4 linked regions of the Xenopus tropicalis genome follow. The protein of the gene in region 4 interacts with the protein of the main gene of each other region in a pairwise test. Links are inferred from orthologs where the notes say so. Each region holds a gene or a part of one and is shown on either strand. Other genes may lie near its edges.

Region 1 (5,798 bases), about 75 Mb from region 4:
ATACATGGGCAGATAAGCTGCCAAAACATTCTAAAGGACATCACTTACATCTCTATACTCTAGAGCAGTGCTGTCCAACTGGCGGCCCGCAACCCCCCTCTGTGTGGCCCCCCACCTGTCTGGCTGCTTTGATGGCTTACCTTTGTGTAAGATTTAAATGGTATCAGTACTGTGGTTAACTGCCCCCCTGCATGGTTCTGCATTGTTCACCCCCTGCAGTGTTCACACAGCTCAGGCTGTAATCACCCACATTGTTCCCCTGTTCACACCTCAGACCCACAAATAATCTCACAAATAATCCCTGCACACTACAAAAAGAACATATACTGAAGTGGTACTGCAATTAAAAAGTTTTTTAATATATAGTTATTGTGCAGACTGTAGGAGCAGTGCCAGCATTGTGTCACTGTATGCTGCCTGTGTGTGCCATACACATAGGGCAAGCAGAGTATGGCACACACAGGCCAAGTATGGCACAAACCAGCCAAGAATGGCACACACAGTCAAAGTATAGCACATGCAGGCAGGGTAGGGAAGGCAGAGTATGGCACACACAGGCAGGGTAGGGAAGGCAGAGTATGGCACACACAGGCAGGGTAGGGAAGGCAGAGTATGGCACACACAGGCAGGGTAGGGAAGGCAGAGTATGGCGCACACACAGGCAGGGTAGGGAAGGCAGAGTATGGCAGGTTTTTGCTGTACTACAACCATTAATATGGGTGTGGTCATGTGATAACATGGGTGTGGTTTCAAGTGGGTGCGGTTTCAAAAAGGGGAGTGGTCAAAACTGTCTTCCATTATCGGCCCTCCACCAGGTAGGTCGGAAAAATTCCGGCCCTCTGTACCACAGAAGTTGGACAGCACTGTTCTAGAGTATTAGAGATGAATATGTCAAGTCATCTTTCCAACAAATGAAACTTGGTTAAAGCAGAAACTTTACTCAGTGCTCTACCGCTCAGTTAAATTTGAATGTGTTTGGTATTTATATTGCAGATATATATTTAATAAAGGGCAGAGAGACAACGTCACCAAAAAAACTGTAAATAAAAACCAAACAAAAAAAAGTCTAAATGTACAAGTGAATTGAATCTTGCAATATATAAAGAATAAAAATGACATCTCTCTCCCTATATTAAGGTTGTCGAAGCTTCTAACATAGAAGCTGAAAACTGCAACTAAAACCCAATAACTTCCTTATCTAGTTTGAAGCTTCATTCCTTTAGTATACTGAGCTTTCTTTCTCGTATAAATAGGAATTTGGTCAAAGGGCTGTCCACTGTGAATGTCTGATTTCCACTGGGGCAGGAGCCAGCAAGCATGCTCAGCAGACAGCTCTATGACTGGATTCCTAATTAAATGAGATGGAAAGTTCAGTATAGTAAAGAAGTAGAGATTTGTGCTAGATAAGGAATTTCCAGATTTGACCTGTTTTTCAGCTTCTGTGTTTAAAAACACAGCGTCTTTTTAGGGATTTTAAAAAGAAATGTTTAGGTTCGCTAATCGATAATATTTTTTCACATATTACTGTATCTTTCTTTACATGTTTGTAATATACTTCCGTAGCTATTTGAGCACAACTTTTTTTTTTACCACTGCCCTATTTAGATATTTGCTACTAGGACAATACAGATCAGCTCTCTAGGCTTACAGTAAGTATATATTCAAATAGTGGTTGTTGTTTATATCTATATTAATGCTGGATTAATAATAACTCCAAACACTTAAGTTTTTTTTTAAAACACGAGTCTATAGACCACACACCTGATATAGTACATTGACACCCAGTTATGCACATCTGGTCGCTTTTCAATATGTTTTAACAAGGTCTGTTCAGTCATATGGAAATCAGAATCATGGGGAGGTGCATCAGACTACAGTTATCAAGTAAACATCAGATTGCACAAGAAAAAAATGTTCAAATTCTTTGCAATGAAATTCCCCTTTAAATTACTAAAGTAATTAAAGGAAAATTCTGTAAATAAAAAAACAAACTTACTTTTGAAGCCTCTTGCGCAAGTCCTTGATCTGATCATTCTTCTTTGTAAGAATATCTTTCATATTGCGATAAACAGCAGTCTGCTGAAATTTCTTTTCTAACTCCTGTTTGGGAAATAACCCATGAATACTCCTGTTACAATGCAAGTTCAGTAAAGAAAAATCTTAAATAAAGCTAAAAGCAAACAATGAAATGAAAGGAAGACACCCATATAGTAGAGGATGATCAGATTAGATTAAAAAATGTTTATTATGCTGAAAACAAAGGACAATGCAGTATTGTTATATTTCAGCTTCAGTTAAGTAGGACATGAAAACATTCTAAGTGTGGCAACGGAGGATCTGTGGATGCCCTGACAGTGATCTTTTACTGTGTGGCTCCCTTTTCTCTCTCTCTTCCTGTGGCCCTCCAGCACTGTCTCCTTAGCTGTATATAGCAGTGTCGCCCACTGTAACCTGCAGCAATATTATCCTCCTATTTGTGTCTGCAAGTTACCCTTCTATTTAGATTGTAAGCTCTATTGCAGTGATCCCCAACCAGTGGCTCGTAGCAACATGTTGCTCATCAACCCCTTGGGTGTTGCCCTCAGTGCCCCCAAACCAGGTAGTTATTTTTGAATTCCTGGTGGCAAGTTTTGATTGATAAAAACAAGATTTACTACCAAATAAAGTCTCCTGTAAGCTGATAGTGTGCACAGAGGCTACCTAATAGGCAATCTTAGCCCTTATTTGGATCCTCCATGAATTTTTATGATGCTTGTGTTGCTCTCCAAGTCTTTTTACATTTGACTGTGGCTCACGAGTAAGAAAGGTTGGGGACCCCTGCTCTATGGGATAGGGACCTCGATCTTCTTTTCTCTTTGATTCTTAACTTATTACAACTGTACCTCATATTTATTTGTATTTATTATCATACTTGTATGTATCTATTATTGTAATGAATTTATTGTTCTACTGTACAGTGTACATAAGTAGTGCTTTACAAAGATATGCATACATACCTTTTCTGCCGAAGAAAGCTGTTCTTGGACTCTGAGCAGTTCATGTTTTGTAGAAGCTAAATTATCTTCCAAATATTTTTGACTGACTGTGTGGTCATTAACAGTTTTCTCAAAATCACATTTGAGATCTGCCATGGTCTTCTCCAAAATATTGATATCCTGAGTATTCTGTTTTGCCTAAAGAAGATAAAACATTACACAGTTATGAAAAACAATGCAAGTAGAATATTAGTTGTAGAGAATACAAGGTACAATACAATACAGGTAAAAAAAAAACAACCCATAAAAGAAAGTATATATACACACACATTTAGATTGTAAGCTCTACGGGGTTCCTCTTGTCTCTGACACTTATGTGCATATTTATGAAGATTGAAGAAAAATATCACCAGTGATGTTGCCCATAGCAATCAATCAGAAATTAGTTTTAAACAGTCATCTAGAAGTTAGAAAACAAAAGCAAAGATCTTATTGGTTGCAACATCACCAGTGATATTTATCTTAAAACTTAGTAAACAGGCCCCTAAGTACTTACTCTTAAATGTAACTGTATTTTATAATTATTATTGAGATGACCTGTTCGTTCTATTAATTTATTGTTCTACTGTACAGAGCTATGTACATAAGTATCATTATATAAATACAAATATACTTTCATATATAAAATGTATGTATGTATGTATGTATGTATGCATGGATGTGTTTTTAAGGTGCTTTGTTTTATAAATTTAACAGAATAAGCAACTTAATATGCATATAGAAGAGCATATGGTATAATATCTGGAAAGTACAGCTTTTAGATATTATATATAAATATTTAGTTTTTCAGTTTTAATTTTTAAACATATTGTCATGAAAATAACCTAACAACCATATGCTCAAACACTGGAGAGAAGCCTTGGAGCATTCTAGCACTTTATTTTTGTAAAGTCCAATGACATCACACAGCAACAAATTCTTCTAAGGATGTAAAAGAGCAAAAAGGCAGTTCCAAAGTCCCACAGAAGTAAATCCACAGTCTGAAGAAAATAATGGCCGAAAAGTAACTGAACTGGTTGATGCAAAGTGCAGGAATCCTTTCCTCTAGCTCTCTGAAGTCTGACTCCAAGTCTCTCTTTGGGGCTCTTTTTTTATGCAGGGATGGGGAGACGTATAGGTGCCAGGGTAACTGGATTATCTACCTATTATTTCCAATCAGGTTGGGCTGGCTTGTTGAAACCTTTGGGTATCAGTCCCTAATCTCACCGGAAAAAAATCAAATCAACTTCGCCATTGTTTATCACAAACCAGTCACACATAGGGGCACATTTACTAATCCACGAACGTCCGAATGCGTTTTTTCTGTAATGATCGGTATTTTTGCGTTTTTTTTTCATCGCCGTCGCGCAAAAATCGGATTGGTTTTTCCGCCGTTTACAATTTCTCCTGAGGAAGCGTGTAGAGAACACGCGAAACGCGTTGAGCTACTCGAGACTTTTATTCACTGCTTTTTATCTCTGCTACACTGTAAGTAGCCTGCATTGAGCAGGGTTTTATATCTATATTAAACGGTTTTACACTATTATCGCCTCCTCTTTTGCTCTACATATATTTGAGGTATCTGACCTGCCTCCAATCAACTGCCCCGTGGGGTTGGACCTATATGCTTTGGCTCATGTTTTTCTGGTGAGCATTTATTGTATCTCATCTATTACGGAGTTGGGTCAACACGTTTTAACCAGTACATTATTAAGCACGTGTGGTGATTAAGATCCTTCATTATCCCATTGATCTGCACTATATTTTGTTTTTTGTTTTTTGTTTCTATTTTTATGCGCTTCCAATCAAACACATATATGCACTTTCTGAAGCTCATCTAGGAGGGGAGCTGACACCAAGAGGAAGCAGCACGTAACTACGGTCTACAGCATTTTGAACATTCAATTCACATACGGATTATACACCAAGAAGCGCTGGGTTTGAGTGTGTTTTTCACTCTTAATTTAACACTACCTTTGCAAGCCTTCTCAGACTTGTATGGCATGTCAATATCTTTCCTTGCTTTCCTATGCTATTACTCTCTCTTCCCCAGTTCATATACCATTTTGTCATGTCCCTTTAGTTTATTTCATGTCTTACCCTGTCCCCCAACAATTAGACTATTTCTTACTGTCCACCAATTCATGCACAATTTCTGTTTAAAACTATCTCACTTAGAATTTCACTGCCTTAAAAGTGATTCTGTTTTCCTGCTTAGCCACTCAAGTAACAGGACACACAAAGAGACCAGATTAGTACATAATCAGACTGTAAAAGTCACTCTATAATGCAAATAGCACATGAAAACACCTAAGTCTTCTATGCTGGAGTAAGAATATAATTTCTCATGCACGGTAAGTATTATGTGACCATCTTTAGCTCCTAGAATGCTGTTTCACATGTAGCAAATTGTAACAGTTAAGAGTGTGTGCCTGCATTACTGGAATGCTAAAAAATTGATCTACACTTAATGAAGGAAATCCCTTCAAAAGCACATCTTTATTAGAATACCAAGGTAAAAAATTATTGTTACCTACTTATAAACATAAAAAATGAGGGACATCCATCAATTAAATACCTTATTCAGATTAAAATTAATCACCAAACATTAGTAAATTCTCCAACATGTGTTTTATAGTTTTCTTGGATGCTAGACTAAAAACACCAGAGAGGAATATTACAAATATATCAATAAAATATTAAAAGTCTAGACTTCAATTTTAGAAAGTCCATTAGAAATAAAAATAGGCATGTGAAGAACATAGTTTCACCCTGGTGAACATA
Region 2 (6,420 bases), on a different chromosome or scaffold from region 4:
ATGGAGCAAATTTAGGCGCTGCAAGTATGCATTCTGGTGCTAAAATCTGCTCCATATATCTGTACCCGGCTGATGCCAGCAAGGAGGCTGATTCTTGGCATTTGCATTTATCTACAACCTGAGATGCTTAGAATCAACCCTATCTGGCATTAGCCTAAAACTGGATAAAAAAAAAGGTAGTATTGCACTGCATGGTAACCTGACTGCACTTCTACTTTATTTATTACAGTGCAGTTCAAACCTTGACAATATTTAAAAAAAAAAAAAAAGTGAGGGAAGGAAGTCACTAAGCAATTACCTTGATTTACATGGGAAGCAAAACGAGCTTGTGCTAAAGTTAGGAAAATCCTACATTCTCTGCATAGTTAAGAACTGATGTCACAAATGTTTTATAATTTCTGTTACTACTAACAAGAAACACAGCCACTTTCCATTTTATAACAAATGCCTTATCCTTATTCACTTTAAATAGGAAACTTTCTGCTCACAAGGGAAACTTTTTTTTCTCTTCTAATCCTTGTTTGTACTTGAGACACTTAACACTGCAAAGCAAACGGCAATGCTCTGAAAATTAAACTGAAGGGGGCCAGGCACTGCAATACAAACAGTTAAATTTGATTCTCTTGGCAGGAAAGACTCAGTTCTCGCAGTGGCAAACAGTGAGCAAGAAAGGAAATGGTGAATAGTTTGAGGTTCTTAGTGGCTTCCTGGACTAGCAGGCAGATCACAAAGTTCACATGACAAGGGTGATCGGGCTACCAACCCTGTGTGTCACTGAGATTTTTTTTTTCCTTATTCCTCTAAAACTAGGTTCTTTGCATGATAAAAGTGCAACTTCAGTAGTTTATCAGTAATGATTTCTGAATTTTTTTTGTGTGTGTTTTCAAAAATGGTCTTGATTATCACTAAATTAATGTTGGGAAACTCCCAACTCCTAAGTGGAGGAAAAAATATTTATTAGCAAGGAACAGTGAGTAACTGCCTGACCTACAAGTGCATTAGAAGGGTAAAGGTAATTCCCTTTAAACTCAATGAAGGACAAATTGTTTTGCTGCCCCTCTGCCAAGCTGGGAACTTACTTTGAAAAACGATGCTAGTGTGTCCCACAAAATATAACAACGGTTTAGTTGGCCACATTAGATCTCTGCTCTGCGGGTGACTAACCACTCTGAAATGCCTTTCTACCGGCAATAATAGGACTCACTGGTGGAAAGGCCAACACTTTGCTTCGGCTACCTGAAGTCTCGCAGTTTCCTCCTGCAGGCAACTTCAGAAAGCAAAAGTGATGCATAGGCCTTTCCACTGCTGACTCCTATTGTTGCCGGTGGAAAGGCATTTTGGAGCGGTTAGTCGCCTTTGGTAGCAGAGATCTATCGCGGGTGACTAACTTGCTCCGTGGGCCATCAGCCTTATTTATTTTGATGATATTATTCCTTTACCCACCATATGAAAGTTACACAGTAACACCATGTATGGTGAGAGGACTAGCAATGGACCCTCTAAAAGCACTTACACCTTCAATGTAAACTGTGGAGAAGTTCTTACAATTTGTAACATCAGTGGTTTAGTGCCTCCTCCCCTGCCAGGATTTCAAATGCAGCAGAAAGAGCTGTTTTGTAGATGAAATTCAGCATATGAAAATGGTATTTATTAATATGTTTAGAAGGAACAGATTACAGTAATAGGTATATTAGGAGTTTGTGTTGTGTGGGGCACTTTAACAAGTTTAAGGCAAATAGCAAATACCATCGATATCAATAAACCAGACCAACGCCTTCTTGTTCAAATGCATAATTTTTGGATTCAGCTACATTCTGTATCCTCCATTTGGACAATATTCCCAACAATAAAACCCATCATAATGTATGGTTACCTGGCTGCACTTCTACTGTAAGTCTTTATTATCAGGGCATTTTGCCAAACAATGACAATAAAAAAAAAATATATATTTTGAGGGTGGAAACTTTCTGCTAACAAAAGATGGCTTAAAAAAAATCTCAGTTTGTACGAGTATAAAAAAAACTGAGCTAAGTAAAAATAAACTTAAAACCAATTCTCTTGGCAGGAAAGACTCTCAGTGCGCAAAGGTGACCAACAAGTGAGAAAGGAAGTGATAAACAGTTGTTGGTGACATCCCCGATTTGCAGACAGATCACAGACAATGCCACAAATTCACATTAGAGGTGATAAGGCTTCAGTTACCCAGGTATCACAGATATATTTAATTTGTTAATCCTCTAAAGTTGGGTTCTTTGCATGATGGAAGTGCCACTTGTTCATTCAATAGTTTATCAATAATGCTGATTTCTGCATCTCTTTTTTCTATGTTTTCAAATGGTGTCCAGGACATGTCATGCTGAAGCTTGTAAGCAGCAAGGAATTCATGTGGGCAACTAGGGCCCCACTCCTAATAGAGAAAAGGGAAAGAAAAAATATTTGTAAGAAACCTGAAGTGTGTTTGCGTAATAATCACTTGACCTCTGAGTACACTGGCAGGTACAAAAGATACCGTATATATACTCGAGTATAAGCCGATCCGAATATAAGCCGAGGTACCTAATTTTACCTAAGAAAACTGTAAAAACTTATTGACTCGAGTATAAGCCTAGGGTGAGAAATGCAGCAGCTTCTGCTATGTTTCAGTAATCAAAATAAATACCAATAAAATTACATTAATTGAGGCATCAGTGGGGTATATGTTAAATATTTATTTCAAAGAAAAACAGTAAATTAGCTCTGTAAGTGGAGAAGAGGGTCAACAAAAACAATAGGCACTGGAGGATCTGGTTGCGGGTGGCCTAATTTGCACACAAAGGAGAGAGGGTGCTAGTCTAGAGGGACCCATGGCACCCAACTCAAGTATAAGCCGAGGGTGACTTTTTCAGGACATTTTGGGTGCTGAAAAACTAGGCTTATACTCGAGTATATACAGTAAGTCAGAGGATGAGCAATTCCCTTGGTTTGCTACCTGCCAAGCAGGAAATCATGCGGCTATCAAAACACTGGGAATCTCCCCTGGTGCCGTTGTTCAAAGCAAGGCTCAGCTAGAATCAGTATTCAATAAACCATATATTAGTGTGTACTAGAAAATATTAATATAAAACCGCTTTGTGTGTTTGAATAAATATGAATATATGCTAGGAAATGTGATAGAAAAGTTCTAAGTTATTATTTTAGTAAAATAATATCTTTGTCGATAATGTTGCTTTACCCACTAGGGAAAAGCTACCCTGTAAAACTGTAGCCTTGGCAGGTATGGCAAGAAGACCTGCAATGAGCCCTGTGGTTACTGGGTTATGGCTGACTAGCACACTAACACTTTACACCATGGTAACAAATGCTGATGCTTACTGCCAGATAGGTATTTTTTTCTATCACAAAACAATCAATGAATCTAAGCCTCAAATGTTTATCTTACATAGCAGATAACTAATTGTCCATTCAAAAAATGACTGCTTTTGTAGTGAAATTATAGGTACAAAAGACTAAATTTGTCCACATACAAAGGAATTATTCGATAGACTGACTGATCATTATTCCATGTATGTGGCCCTATGTGACCCTCAACTTAACCTTTAAACTATCAGCAGCAGATGAACCAGCTGACTGGGAAGCTAAAATAGCCACAGTTCTGATGCCAAAGTAGAAATGAAACAATAGTTCTTCCCACAGATAAAAAAGATCTGAGATCCCATCCATGAGTCTTATCATTGTACAGTCAGTGACACAACAGGTGCAGGATTCTCTTACCTTTGGTGACAGAATTGAGAAATATCTCTGTCCACTTTCCCGCTGGTAGAGATAATAAATATTTCCTGGCTTTTTGACAACATTGCAAGCTGCGTGGTGCAAATCAGCATCTCTCTTGGCTTCCTCCAGCACCTACATCGAGTGAATAAAATTAGTACTCATCTGGTTCTAGTAAAAGGTTTTATCCATCTACAACTGTAAATTCACAATACAAAAAGGAAAGCTGAGCACACAGCTACTAATTTAAAATGTTGGTCCCTTCCCACAATTCACACTAAAGCAACATAAGTTGAGCAGCAGACTTCCTGCATGATCATACTGAGGCAACTACCAATAAAGGGTGTCTAAATTACAGTGAGGAGGTCACTGTCACTAGAATACTAAACAGAACAGCAGGTAAGCCAGGAAATATATTTGCTACACCAAATACCTAGTTGTTTAAAGGACAAGAAAAGCTCCTTTTAAGATAAAAAAAAAAATAATGCTGCTTATTATTTCTGCTTACTTCCCTTTATTCTATTTTCTCATTGCGTACTTTTTTCAATTTTATATATTTTCACCATATATCTATGCATGTATAACTATTCACCATGGGAATGTAATGTAATCAGTCCTCATGTTCTCCAGTGCAAATAAACCCTCAATCAAGTATTTTATGTTTTTTTATGTTTTACATACTGAGAAAAGCTATTAACTTTGTAGCTTAATTGTATTTTACTTTACAATAATGAAACTCAATTTAAACACAGTTGAATATTTACCCTTCTAGCTTGTTCCTGCAGCATGCGGATCTGCTCAGCTATAACAGTCAATCTGTTACATGCATTGGCTCTGACAAATTCATCAGCCTGTTGATGAAATACAGTATAAACATGAATATATACACTCTGCAATACACAACTGGTTGTCTCATTTGCTTTGCATTACTTTCTTTTGGGGGTTTTCCAGATAAGGGGTCTTTTCAGAAATCTGATCACCATACCTTAAATCTAATTTGAAAAAAATTATATATTTTAATCCCAGTAGGATTGTTTTGCCCCCAATTTGGATTAATTATATTTTAGTTGTGATCAAGTACAAGATACTCTTATTATTACAGAGAAAAAGGAAAGCATGTTTTTCAAAAATGAATTATTTCAGTAAATTAAAGTCTATGGGAGATGGCCTTCCTGTAATTTGGAACTTTCTGAATAACAGGTTTGTGGAAAACCAATACCATACCTGTAATTCCAATTTTTTTTTATAAATGATTTCCTTTTTCTCTGTAATAATAAAACAGTACATTGTACTTGATGGTAACTAGCTGTGTGAATCCATATTGGTGGCAAAACAGTCCTAATAGGTTTGTTTAGGAGATCTGATCTAAATTACAGAAACATCCATTATCAGCAAAAAAAAAATAAAAACCCAGGTCCCAAGTATTCCAGCATTTATTTTTTTTTGCAGTGATCAAGAGAAATAGACAAAAGATTAAATTAATTGCAATGAAAAAAAACACAAGATTATATAAGCATACACCCTCTTTTAGTCAGTATTTAGTGAAGAGCCTTTTCCCATATCCAGCCATTCATTCTCTATTGGACTAAGATCTGGACTCCCTTCCTAGCCATTCCAGGACATTAGCCACTGTGTCATATTAAGGGGGTGTATAATTAAGTAATCAATTAAATAAACAAAATTGAATCCCCTGTGATTCCATGTTCGATGACGATAAAATGTGAAAACCTCCAAAAGGATAAATGCTTTTTTTTATAAGTACCTTAATCCAACAAGGAGGCACTTTAGTTCTAAAATAAGTGGTTCCTTAACTGTGGGATTACTCTCCTAGGCAAACCCAGAAAAGTGGCTGGGAAGGGCAACATTCCATATATAACAAAGTTAGGGTGAGATTTGGAGAGATTGCCTAGTTGCTCTTCTGGATAGTCCTTTAAAGGAACAGTAGCCCCAAAAATGGAAATGCTTAAAAGTAATTACAGTATAATGTACTGTTGCCCTGCACTGTTACAGCTGGTGTGTTTGCTACAGAAAGACTACTATAGTTTATATAAGCTGCTGTGTAGCCATGGGGGCAGCCATTCAAGATGGAAAAAAAGGAGAAAAGGCACAGGTTACATAGCAGATAAACTCTTTAGAATATAATGGAGCTTTATCTATTATTATATATATTTCTTAAAGTTTCTTGCCAAAAAACATCCAAAACCTTATTAGCCCTTACCTTTTGCACTTGCCGCGCAAGATCCACAAGGTTAGAGGGGTCTCCAATGCGATTGGTTTGATAAGTGCTAACTAACTGAACCCCCGTAGGATTAGCGTTACTTTCTACTAGAGCCACTGAAAGACAAAATATAAAATGATTTTAACTGAAATCAACACACCAAAATGTAGAAGTGCACGATCATTTTGTTTCCTAATGCTCAACACTTTGGGGCTGATTTACTAACCCACGAATCCGACCCGAATTGGAAAAGTTCCGACTTGAAAACGAACATTTTGCGACTTTTTCGTATGTTTTGCGATTTTTTCGGATTCTGTACGAATTTTTCGTTACCAATACGATTTTTGCGTAAAAACGCGAGTTTTTCGTATCCATTACGAAAGTTGCGTAAAAAGTTGCGCATTTTTCGTAGCGTTAAAACTTACGCGAAAAGTTGCGCATTTTTCGTAGCGTTA
Region 3 (5,952 bases), on a different chromosome or scaffold from region 4:
AAATCACAATACCTAGAGCAGACGTTCAAGTTTATTGGGCCAGTACCGGCATGGCTACGCAGTTCCAGTTCAGGTCAATGGAAAGCCAAGATATTTATTTCAGCCATTGGGTGCCATCAGATATATAGAATACAGATAGATGATCTCTCATATATGCAACTGCCAGGGCAAGCCCATCCCAAGCATGAAGGGTGCAGCTTTCTAATCAGAGGGTGTTTTAAAAGGCACGGCTAGAATTTTTTTATATTACATTTTTTAACTTTAATATGAAAAATAAAGCAACTGCCCTTAAAGAAGAAGGAAAGGCTAAATCATTTGGGGGTGCCAAAATGTTAACAGGAGCACAGGCTGGGGCGTGTCAGGTAAGCGATTACAGTCACTGAGGGCAGGGTTGGACTGGGAAAGTGCAGACCCACCGTGGCTGCCACCCCAGGGGCCCCACACACCTCCCGCTGCTTGTACACGCCCCTCACAGGGGCCCTGTCCATCCCTAAAGCATGTATAAGTAGATGCAATCATTCAGAGGAGGGAGGCAGCTGGGATCGGATCTGGGTCGACAGGAGTATATTTCCCAGTGTCCCGCCAGCCCTGTCCGACTCTGACTGGGGGGGGGGGGTCTAACATTTTTTATTAGAAACATTAACATTATTATTTTGTTCCATTTATATTGTGGATCATTCAAAAATGACTTGCTCTGTGGGACTGGCATAGCTGCACACTGCACTGTATGGGCGATACAGCTAACGAGGCTGTTCCCACCAAGGCGCCGGACATGATTCCAAGTGATCGTGTTGCACATATCCAATGAGAGAGATCCCTGGGCCCAATACATTATAGGTGGCATTTCATGCAGCTAAGTGGCATGCACAATACCGAAGGGAAAAGATCCATATTGCGCAGCTATTTTTCCAGCACAGAGCAACTCACCATCATACATCATAGCAGTCAATCTCACTTCTAAACAAACAACAGCTTCCCCTGAGAAACATCAGAATAACTCCTTGGAAGCAGGCCCAGACTGACAGTCAGGAATCTCTGCCAATGCCAGAGGGGCGGCTGGGAGCTGCCATAGTCTGGCGCTTTATATGCGGCTGTTTGGACCTTTGTGTACTTGAAATACCAGGGCCGACTTTGCATCTCAGTTCAGACCTGCTGGGTCAGATCGAATCCATCGGACTAAGTAAAGAGGTTTTGGGACCCGGCCGGCACACTAATGTCTAACAGAAAGCAAACTTGATTTGCATTCCGACTGCCACCTTCCAGCTCTTGTGCAGACGATTATTTGGCCCACGTCATCCATACATCTGTCGCTTGGATAATAGCTGGCAGTGAGTGTGTGGGGAGTTCAAGTTCAATACCACCTGGAAACCACATCTTAAACATTTCCTTCAAGGCTGATTGAAACTGAATAGCAGAGCAATACAAAAGAACTCATTAAGCACTTGTAGCAAAGGGCTAACAGGGACCCTCTGGCTTCATTAAGCCTGGAGCGAGCATCATGGGAAACCCTCATTAGTCTCAAGTCATCTTTTTAGAAGATTGCTTAAATATGCTGTATGCAAGCGCGAGGCAACAATGGAGTCTTTCTTCGCTGGTCCAAGGACGGGATCATTGCCACGCCAGGGCTGCCAGCCAAGCAAGGAGGAAATGTTACAGTTTCCTCTTGGAAATTCACATGGCCCGAATCTGCTATCGGTGCACATACACAAACAATAGTTAGAAGTACTGGCAGAGTTTACTCCCCCGTAGAGCTGTGAAGCAACACTGAATTTATAAAGCCCCTTATAATGCCAGAGCAGTGTTTAAAGGGCAAGTAAACCCCTCACACAAAAATGTAGTGAACAGTCTCTTTGCAATCTTTAAACACCTGTCACTCCGGCTGTTTAAAGGTTAATAGTAAAGCTGTAGCATCCCCTTAATCATTTGGGTTTCCTTCTCCTCCTTTAACCCACTCAGCCCCTTCCCTTAGGAATTTACTTTGGCTGTTGGCTACTGAGCGTGCTCAGTTCAGATTGCTAAACACACCCTCTGGTTCCCACAGAAACTTTGCTCTAGCTGTCGGATTCTATTTTTTTTCTTCTAACTTCCTGATCTGAGCTCAGCTTAAACATATATATATATATATATATATACACACACACACACACACATACACTTAGATTGTAAGCTCTACGGGGCAGGGACCTACTTCTTACTGTGTCTCATACCACATGGCACTTATATATATATTTATTGTATTTATTTATTGTATCACTTGTCCTCCCTGTGTGTAATTTTGTATTCTAAGATTGTACAGCGCTGCGCACCCTTGTGGCGCTTTATAAATAAAGTCATACATACATATACATACATACATACATACATACATACAATACAGTGCTCAGTCCAAGTGGAAGTAAGTTCTGCCTGTGTAAGCCTGCATTCTTCACTGCATAAATTTGCAGTAAATGAAGACATGGCAGAGGGAAAATGGCCGCTGGGTGAATGCTGCTTTTTGTTTAAAGAAAATGTAATGGCACAAAGAGAGGGGATTCAGTACAAAGGATGCCACTTGGGTTGGGGGAAAGTAAAGAGGTTTACTTAGCATCCCCTTAATCATTTGGGTTTCCTTCTCCTCCTTTAACCCCTTCAGCCCCTTCCCTTAGGAATTTACTTTGGCTGTTGGCTACTGAGCGTGCTCAGTTCAGATTGCTAAACACACCCTCTGGTTCCCACAGAAACTTTGCTCTAGCTGTCGGATTCTATTTTTTTTCTTCTAAGTTCCTGATTTGAGCTTAGCTTAACCAATACAGTGCTCAGTCCAAGCGGAAGTAAGTTCTGCCTGTGTAAGCCTGCATTCTTCATTGCATAAACTTGCAGTAAATGAAGATGTGTCAGAGGGAAAATGGCTGCTGCGTGAAAGACGCTTTTTGTTTAAAGAAAATGTAATGGCACAAAAAGAGGGGATTCAGTACAAAGGATGCCACTTGGGTGGGGGGGAAATGTTCTCAACTTATATACATGTTAGGGAAGTGTAGGCTTTATATGCCCTTTAACTTTCCCACTGGAATACCAAGGAGACTCCTGGTGGGCCCAGGAGTCAATGGACCCTCCTAACACCCAGCCGTTTGTCCATTTGTAAAACTGTACCTGGGGTCTGCTGCTGTGTGTACGTCGTGGTTTTAACAGTGTAACTGCCGGGGTAGGCGTGGCTGTCGTCCTCGATGACCATTTTCCCGTTTAACGATGGAGACGCTGTGTTTATTCCAGAATTGATGCCCGAGTCGTAAGTGTAGGTTTTCTGCCACTCTGTGACTTTTATTGGCACTTCCACTACATCCACCAAATCCATTCTACTTCTGTGGAAAGAACATTGAGTAGGGATTAGCGAACTACTGAAGGATTAGCTATCACCATTTCATTCTTTCCCACAACAAATCAGGCATGAACTTTAAGTGTGATACAGACATGGACAATTTGCAATTGGTCCTCATTTTTTATTTTTTTTGTGGTTTTTCAGTTATTTAGAATTTTGTTTAGCGGGTCTCTGGTTTGGAAATTCAGCTGCTGTCTTATTTACCCAGTAACCAGATAGTTAGTGGTTTGAATGAGAGACTGGAATATGAATAGAAGAGGGTCTAAATAGGAAGATGAGGAATTAAAAGTATCGATAGCAATAAAATTGTAGCCTCACAGAGCAATAGTTTTTTGGCTTCAGGGGTCAGTGACCCCCATTTGGAAAGAGGCAGAAGAGGAAGGCAAATAATTAAAAACAAACAATAATAGAAACCAGTTACTAGGAAAAGGCCTTTATATAACATATTAAGATTTAACGTAAAAGTTGAACCACCCCTTTAATAGTGCATCTCTTTTAATATACGTCTGCCTCTCCTACACCTTTGGTAAGGTGCTGTTACACGGGGTGCTTTATTGCCCGGTGGGTTATCTCCTCTCCCCTGGGTGATGCAGCACCTAAATACAAAGCGCCCCCCTATAAACCAATAATGGGCCTTATAAACTGCCCAATGACAATGCAATAATGACCTATCACAATCAGCCTAATACAGTGCCTTACTGCAGTAAAAAATCTCATTGCAGGTATGGGATCCATTATCCGGAAACCCATTATGCAGAGAGTTCCAAATTACGGAAAGGCCATCTCCCATAGACTCCATTATAAGCAAATAATTTCAATTTTATAAAATGGGTTTTCTTTTTCTCTGTAATAATAAAACGGAATCTTGTACTTGATCCCAACTAAGATATAATTACCCCTTATTGGGGCAGAACAGCCCTATTGGGTTTATTTCATGGTTAAATGATTCCCTTTTCTCTGTAATAATAAAACAGTACCTGTACTTGATCCCAACTAAGATATAATTACCCCTTATTGGGGCAGAACAGCCCTATTGGGTTTATTTCATGGTTAAATGATTCCCTTTTCTCTGTAATAATAAAACAGTACCTGTACTTGATCCCAACTAAGATATAATTACCCCTTATTGGGGCAGAACAGCCCTATTGGGTTTTTTAATGGTTAAATGATTCCCTTTTCTCTGTAATAATAAAACAGTACCTGTACTTGATCCCAACTAAGATATAATTACCCCTTATTGGGGCAGAACAGCCCTATTGGGTTTATTTAATGGTTAAATGATTCCCTTTTCTCTGTAATAATAAAACAGTACCTGTACTTGATCCCAACTATGATATAATTACCCCTTACTGGAGGTAAAACAATCCTATTGGGTTTATTTAATATTTTAATTATTTTTAGCAGACTTAAGTTATGGAGATCCAAATTATGGAAAGATCCCTTATCCAGAAAACCCCAGGTCCTGAGCATTCTGGATAACAGGTCCCATACCTGTAATACGATGCACAAGAAATGCAAGAAGAGAAGAGCGGAATCAAGCCTGCCAGTGATATTTGCGGATGATTTACATTCCGTGACGGTTTGCCACAGGCAGTTATTATGATGGCTCATTTTACAGTTCATTTGCTACAAATTTTCTTGTAAGACAATTGTACTAATCAGCCATGTATGTAAATGTATTTATTTAGCGCTACTTATGTATGCAGCGCCGTACAGCGGAATAATAAGAAATGAAACACACAGCTCAGAGCGCAGATGACATTCGTTACCCATGAATATTGCTCTGATACTGCCCCCGTGGATGCCAAACAAGCAGGGATTCGATATATAAGTGACCGCGGCTATAAATGGAAAATAAGCCCTATCTGTCTGTAGTAAGTGTGGGGGTGGGAGTATTCTATAGAATATATGAATTAGTATTTGAGCAGTAAATTCCAATTACAGGTATGGGATCAGTTATCTGGAAACCAGTTATCCAAAAAGCTTAAAATTACGGGATGGCCACCTCCCACCGACTCCATTATAAGCAAATAATTCAGATTTTTGAGACTGATTTCCTTTTTCTCTGTAATGATAAATACAGGCCCGGACTGGCAATCTGTATGTTCTGGTAAATGCCAGAGGGGCTGCTGTCAGATGCCATAGGGAGTCACTATTTATTGGGCGGCTGGGGGGGGCTGTTTGTGCCTCTGGGTTCTGCTGATAACAGGGGGGCTGTAAGATGCCATAGACAGTCACTATTTATTGGGCTGGGGGCTCTTTGAGCTTCTGCCAGGGCATATTTTGTATCCTAGTCCAGACCTGACTAAAAAACAGTACCTTGTCCAGAATGCTCTGGACCGGAGGTTTTCCAGATCAGGAATCTTTCTGTAATTTGGATCCCCATACCTTAAGTCTTCTAAAAAAATTAAACATAAAATAAATCCAATAGGACTGTTCTGCCCCCAATAAGGGGTAATTATATCTTAGTTGGGATCAAGTACAGGTACTGTTTTATTATTACAGAGAAAAGGGAATCATTTAACCATGAAATAAACCCAATAGGGCTGTTCTGCCCCAATAAGGGGTAATTATATCTTAGTTGGGATCAAGTACAG
Region 4 (4,924 bases):
CCCTATGCTGCCTGTGAAAGGTGAACCTGGCAGGGGTTTGTTCTGGGAGTTTGTTAGTAGTTGGAAACAGCCATTAAATGGTCCCTAAGGTGTGTAATTATGTTGCTGAGGGTTGCTGTGCTATCCACAGGGGAGGAGGAGGCATATGGATTTAAGGGTGTGTCTTAATATGACATAATATAATTCTTTCATATATGAATAACTGGTGATATCCCTGGAGTGAGGACCAAACATTTGGGTTTTTGCTGCACTACCACCATTGTGATAAAATGGGTGTGGCTCGAAGTGGGTGTGGTTCAAAAAAGGGGGAGTGGCCAACACTGGCTTCAATTAGCGGCCCTCCACCATGTATGCTAGAGAAATTCCGGCCCTCGGCACCGCAGAAGTTGGACAGCACTGATCCAAACGATTACAGACACTTTATCAAGTAACTCTGCATCATTACAACTCTACCTCCTTAAGCTCCTATTCACCATTGAAAACAGTTACAACTGTCCAGCCTTTTGTTTAGAACTAAGAACTTGGATACCTCATATCAGCCTATTTGCTCTACTCTGGGCTCTTTTATTTTGAGCAATGTCTCTTTTAAAGGAACAGTAACACCAAAAAATGAAAGTGTATAAAAGTAACTAAAATATAATGTGCTGCTGCCCTGCACTGGTAAAAGTTGTGTGTTTACTTCAAAAAGTCTACTATAATTTATATAAATAAGCTGCTGTGTAGCCATGGAGGCAGCCATTCAAAGGAGAAAAGGCACAGGCACATAGCAGATAACAGAGAAAACACTATTGTATTCTACAGAGCTTATCTGTTATCTGCTATGTAACCTGTGCCTTTTCTCCTTTTTTCCAGCTTGAATGGCTGCCCCCATGGCTACACAGCAGCTTATTATATAAATTATAGTAGTGTTACTGTAGCAAACACACCAGTTTTACCAGTGCAGGGCAACAGTGCATTATATTTTTATTACTTTAAAGCTCTTTCATTTTTTGGTGTTACTGTTCCTTTAAGTATTGCAGACCAAACCGTCACTGCAGTTGCTTGATGGGACATTACCAGTTCTCTGTAAAGGGGGAGAATCACCCTCTCTTCCATGAACCCTAAGAACCTCTGTAAATTTATACTCATAAAATACGGGACAGTACGTTGCTGACCCTTTCTGCTTCTGATTGGCTTTACTTCCTACAGCTAAAGTTATTATCCACAAGTAATCTGACCTTCTCTATAAGTGACTAAAGGTCACTTCAGACAGCATATCTGCCCGTGTATGTGCCTGCCTATGGGATGACTGGCAGGCCACAAGTATCCAAACCCTATCATGTTATAATTTCCCTTTAAGAACACAGATTGGGGTATGGCCTAGCAGTTGGGTAGGTGCTTCACAACATAACAGGCATCATCAGCAAAACTGGTCTAAAAAAATCTTACTCTCCATTGGACTCCGCCACTTGGGGTTTAGCAGGGATAGCTCTCTAGGTTTTTTCAAAGCCAGCACAGAGAGTTATCAGTCAGCTGTAGCCTATACAATAAAACCCCCATTTTACATTTTAGGGAACCAGTAAAAATTGGTGTAAAAACCAGAAAATATAAAATCGGGAGAAATTAATTATATATTGGTGGGACGTACTTCCCCCAAAGTGATTGTGAATAGTATATTTTCCTTCTGCTTTTTATTTCTACTGATAATTATTAGCCGTGCCATTGTCTCTCAGGCTAGCCACCGCCTTTATTATTAATTCTCGTCACCTTCCTACAGTGTTACAATCTTAGATTAAAGTGACCTTTCAAGATACAGCATTTTAGTGTAGCACATATGTGTTCTTCCAGTTTAATTAGATTTCCATTCCCTTAATTGTTTTTCTTTCTAGAATCCACAATGAACTTGGGCGATTTTATCAGCATGAACCCTGAGGTTGGATGGGGCACAGTATATTCCTTGGCAGAGTTTACAGAACGCTTTGGTGACGCAACAGTCTGATTCACAAATCATTGAAAGGTTTTGTGAAAGCAGCAATGCCCACTGTGGCTGAGGAAGTAAGAAGCCATTGTTCTTAAAGTTTCCAGTCCACATGATTAATTCATCTCTCCGAGTGTTCCAGGAGTTGCACTTGGGTGTCAAATTCAGATAAAATGAATTTAATCCCTGTGCCTGCCGGATTAAGCAGTTCCATCTGAAAGCTCTACTTTATATACAATGTTTTTCACCAGCGCTGGCAGTAATTGGTACTTTAAGGGCAACTATACCTTCAAATATTGCAGCAATTACGGCAATACATAACGGTGGCATATTTTTTATGGTATGTTTCTGCTGGCTATAGAAAAACATAGGGGACAGTCTTGCAGAATTGTGTAGGGATATCTATTCTGCCACAGTTATACGCTGTCTCTGTGAAGCTTAGGAGGCTGTTCCTGCTGAATTGTAGGGCACTAATTGCCAGAAAAAATTCAGATACATTTCAGGCTGCCACAAGCCTTTTATCTACCTTGATTAGTGCTGTACAGCACTGCAGCAATACAACATTGACTGAAAATAGGTGTCTTGGTATGTGCTCCTTATTGGCTGAAATAATTTGGACTGGTTACTGAAATGAAGTTAATGAAGGGGAGCAACCATGACTGCATACTTTTATATAATGTCACAGCAATATTTGGGTTGTGGTCAGTCCATTTACAACTGACCATGACCCAGTAACGGTATACCGCGCTCCTGATCTGTCAGACCACATCCCGTTCTGTCCTTTCGTTTGGGATTATAATATAAATTAAGACGGCTGTAGTGAAATATTGTGGCAAGCCAGCCTGAATAGAAGATGTGGCTATAATGGGAAGAGGAAACACGAATAGCTTCAAAGTGACGCAAATAAAATCAACATATATCCTAATATCCAAGAATTTAATATCCTAACCGGAAGAAATATAGCAAAAATTGTCTAGCAGAGCTCCTGGATCTGTTTGCAAAAACAAAATTCTTGTCCCCATTCAGTCACCATGATGGCTTAGTTTATAGGGTTAATATGCAGTGACAAGGGTCAGGATTGCTCTGAATGAAACCGTATTCATTTGCCCATGTTCTTAAGAAAAGTCTGTTATACAGTAAGTGAAATAAATAAGCACAATAAAAGATGTCCTATATGAAAGTAAAAAAACACACAAGTGAAGCTCAATTTTATTGCTTTATTGATTTAGATGTATGGCGAGTACCATATGCCAAGAGAATTATACTGATTTACAAATACATATTGCCACGTTTTTATTCTTTGGGTTATTGGGTACATTTGAAGTGTAAGAAATATGGTAACTGATCTCATAGGTTTGCACAAATCTGACATTTCTCCACTTGAGGTTTGAGAAGAACAGCGGCTGCCACTTTGAGTCTTCAAAATGTTTTTGGAAGAGAAAGAGATTTTGTTGCAGCGCTTCATTGTGTAAGAGCTGGGAGACCCTGGGGATGGAGAGTAGAACCTTTTGCACAACATATTGGAAAATGGATGGAAGGCTCAGTGACAGATGGAACACTAACCAGAAATAGGGCTCAGAAAAGAATATTTTTATCATTAGATTACTGTTAAGGGTTCGTTTATGCATAACTCATTTTTATTGCCATTTTTATCAGACATCAGGATTCCCATACTACATGTTTTACACAAATCTCTGGAGCGTATTTAGCAAAACGAGAGTGAAAACATGCCCCAGATTTCTCCAAAATCCTTCAGCCCTCCATCTGAGCATATAGTCCTATAATTATCTTGGGCGCATTTTTCTGGAAATAACTGAAACAATGATTGTGCCACCTGTAAGCAGAGAGTGGCCCCTCAGTGTATGTAACTGGTGGGGCTGTAGGGGAATCATTGGTGATGGGCGTTCACTGTAGGTACCTACAGAAGCCAGAGAGGCGTTTTCTTGTCCCTAGTTAGGACTGTCTGTGGATAAATACAGGTATGGGATCTATTATCCAGAATGCTTGGGACTTGGGATTTTCCGGATAAGGGTTTTTTCCATAATCTGGATCACCGTTCACAAGTCTACTAAAAAATAATATTAACATTAAATTACCCCAATAGGATTGTTTTGCCTCCAATAAGGGGTAATTATATCTTAGTTGGGATCAAGTACAGGTACTGTTTTATTATTACAGAGAAAAGGGAGTCATTTAACCATGAAATAAACCCAATAGGGCTGTTCTGCCCCAATAAGGGGTAATTATATCTTAGTTGGGATCAAGTACAGGTACTGTTTTATTATTACAGAGAAAAGGGAATCATTTAACCATTAAATAAACCCAATAGGGCTGTTCTGCCCCCAATAAGGGGTAATTATATCTTAGTTGGGATCAAGTACAGGTACTGTTTTATTATTACAGAGAAAAGGGAATCATTTAACCATTAAATAAACCCAATAGGGCTGTTCTGCCCCCAATAAGGGGTAATTATATCTTAGTTGGGATCAAGTACAGGTACTGTTTTATTATTACAGAGAAAGTGGAATCATTTAAAAAAAAAAAAAAAATTATTTGCTGAAAATTGAATCTATTAGTACATTAATCAATGGACCTCTTTATATGAACCTGTTATTACAGAGTAACATCAGCTGTTGCACACACAAGGGGAGGCTTGTGTTCATGGGGGCCCCATATGAATAACTTGTATGGAGCCCCAAAGTTTCTGATGGCGGCACTTTATGCACCAGTATGGGGTACTTTAAGTCTCAGCTCCACATTGCCATGCTCTCCTGGTTCCCCAGCAATCTTCAGTCCTGGAGCTTGCACAGTACATACCTTGGCAAAAAAATTCTGTACATGGCATTTGCTTGCCCAGGCGGCACTGATGATGGAGAGACCAAGGTGTAAGTTCAGCTAAAGTCTTGCCTGTACTGGTCCCAGTTGGGCTGGTCACAACTTTCCTTTTTTTCTCCCATATGGAACAAT

Evidence for each region.
Region 1: the proteins of wdyhv1 (region 4) and lztfl1 interact in binary tests that used the Homo sapiens proteins (3 or more experiments, as listed by UniProt). The two-hybrid records come from large-scale screens. The link is inferred for Xenopus tropicalis from reciprocal best matches to the Homo sapiens genes NTAQ1 and LZTFL1.
Region 2: the proteins of wdyhv1 (region 4) and c1orf50 interact in binary tests that used the Homo sapiens proteins (3 or more experiments, as listed by UniProt). The two-hybrid records come from large-scale screens. The link is inferred for Xenopus tropicalis from reciprocal best matches to the Homo sapiens genes NTAQ1 and C1orf50.
Region 3: the proteins of wdyhv1 (region 4) and jup interact in binary tests that used the Homo sapiens proteins (3 or more experiments, as listed by UniProt). The two-hybrid records come from large-scale screens. The link is inferred for Xenopus tropicalis from reciprocal best matches to the Homo sapiens genes NTAQ1 and JUP.

The regions. Positions count from the first base shown.
Region 1 is NC_030682.2:64,732,947-64,738,744, forward strand, and holds part of lztfl1 (leucine zipper transcription factor-like protein 1), read right to left. Parts: intron 3,174-5,798; coding exon 2,997-3,173; intron 2,101-2,996; coding exon 1,997-2,100; intron 1-1,996. UniProt on the Homo sapiens protein: Regulates ciliary localization of the BBSome complex. Together with the BBSome complex, controls SMO ciliary trafficking and contributes to the sonic hedgehog (SHH) pathway regulation. May play a role in neurite outgrowth. May have tumor suppressor function.
Region 2 is NC_030683.2:94,462,043-94,468,462, forward strand, and holds the end of c1orf50 (uncharacterized protein C1orf50 homolog), read right to left. Parts: intron 6,082-6,420; coding exon 5,966-6,081; intron 4,599-5,965; coding exon 4,512-4,598; intron 3,883-4,511; coding exon 3,751-3,882; intron 2,408-3,750; coding exon 2,222-2,407; 3' UTR 1,627-2,221; downstream 1-1,626.
Region 3 is NC_030686.2:7,397,585-7,403,536, reverse strand, and holds part of jup (junction plakoglobin), read right to left. Parts: intron 3,339-5,952; 5' UTR 3,332-3,338; coding exon 3,130-3,331; intron 1-3,129. UniProt on the Homo sapiens protein: Common junctional plaque protein. The membrane-associated plaques are architectural elements in an important strategic position to influence the arrangement and function of both the cytoskeleton and the cells within the tissue.
Region 4 is NC_030682.2:139,837,238-139,842,161, forward strand, and holds the end of wdyhv1 (protein N-terminal glutamine amidohydrolase), read left to right. Parts: intron 1-1,868; coding exon 1,869-1,978; 3' UTR 1,979-3,237; downstream 3,238-4,924. UniProt on the Homo sapiens protein: Mediates the side-chain deamidation of N-terminal glutamine residues to glutamate, an important step in N-end rule pathway of protein degradation.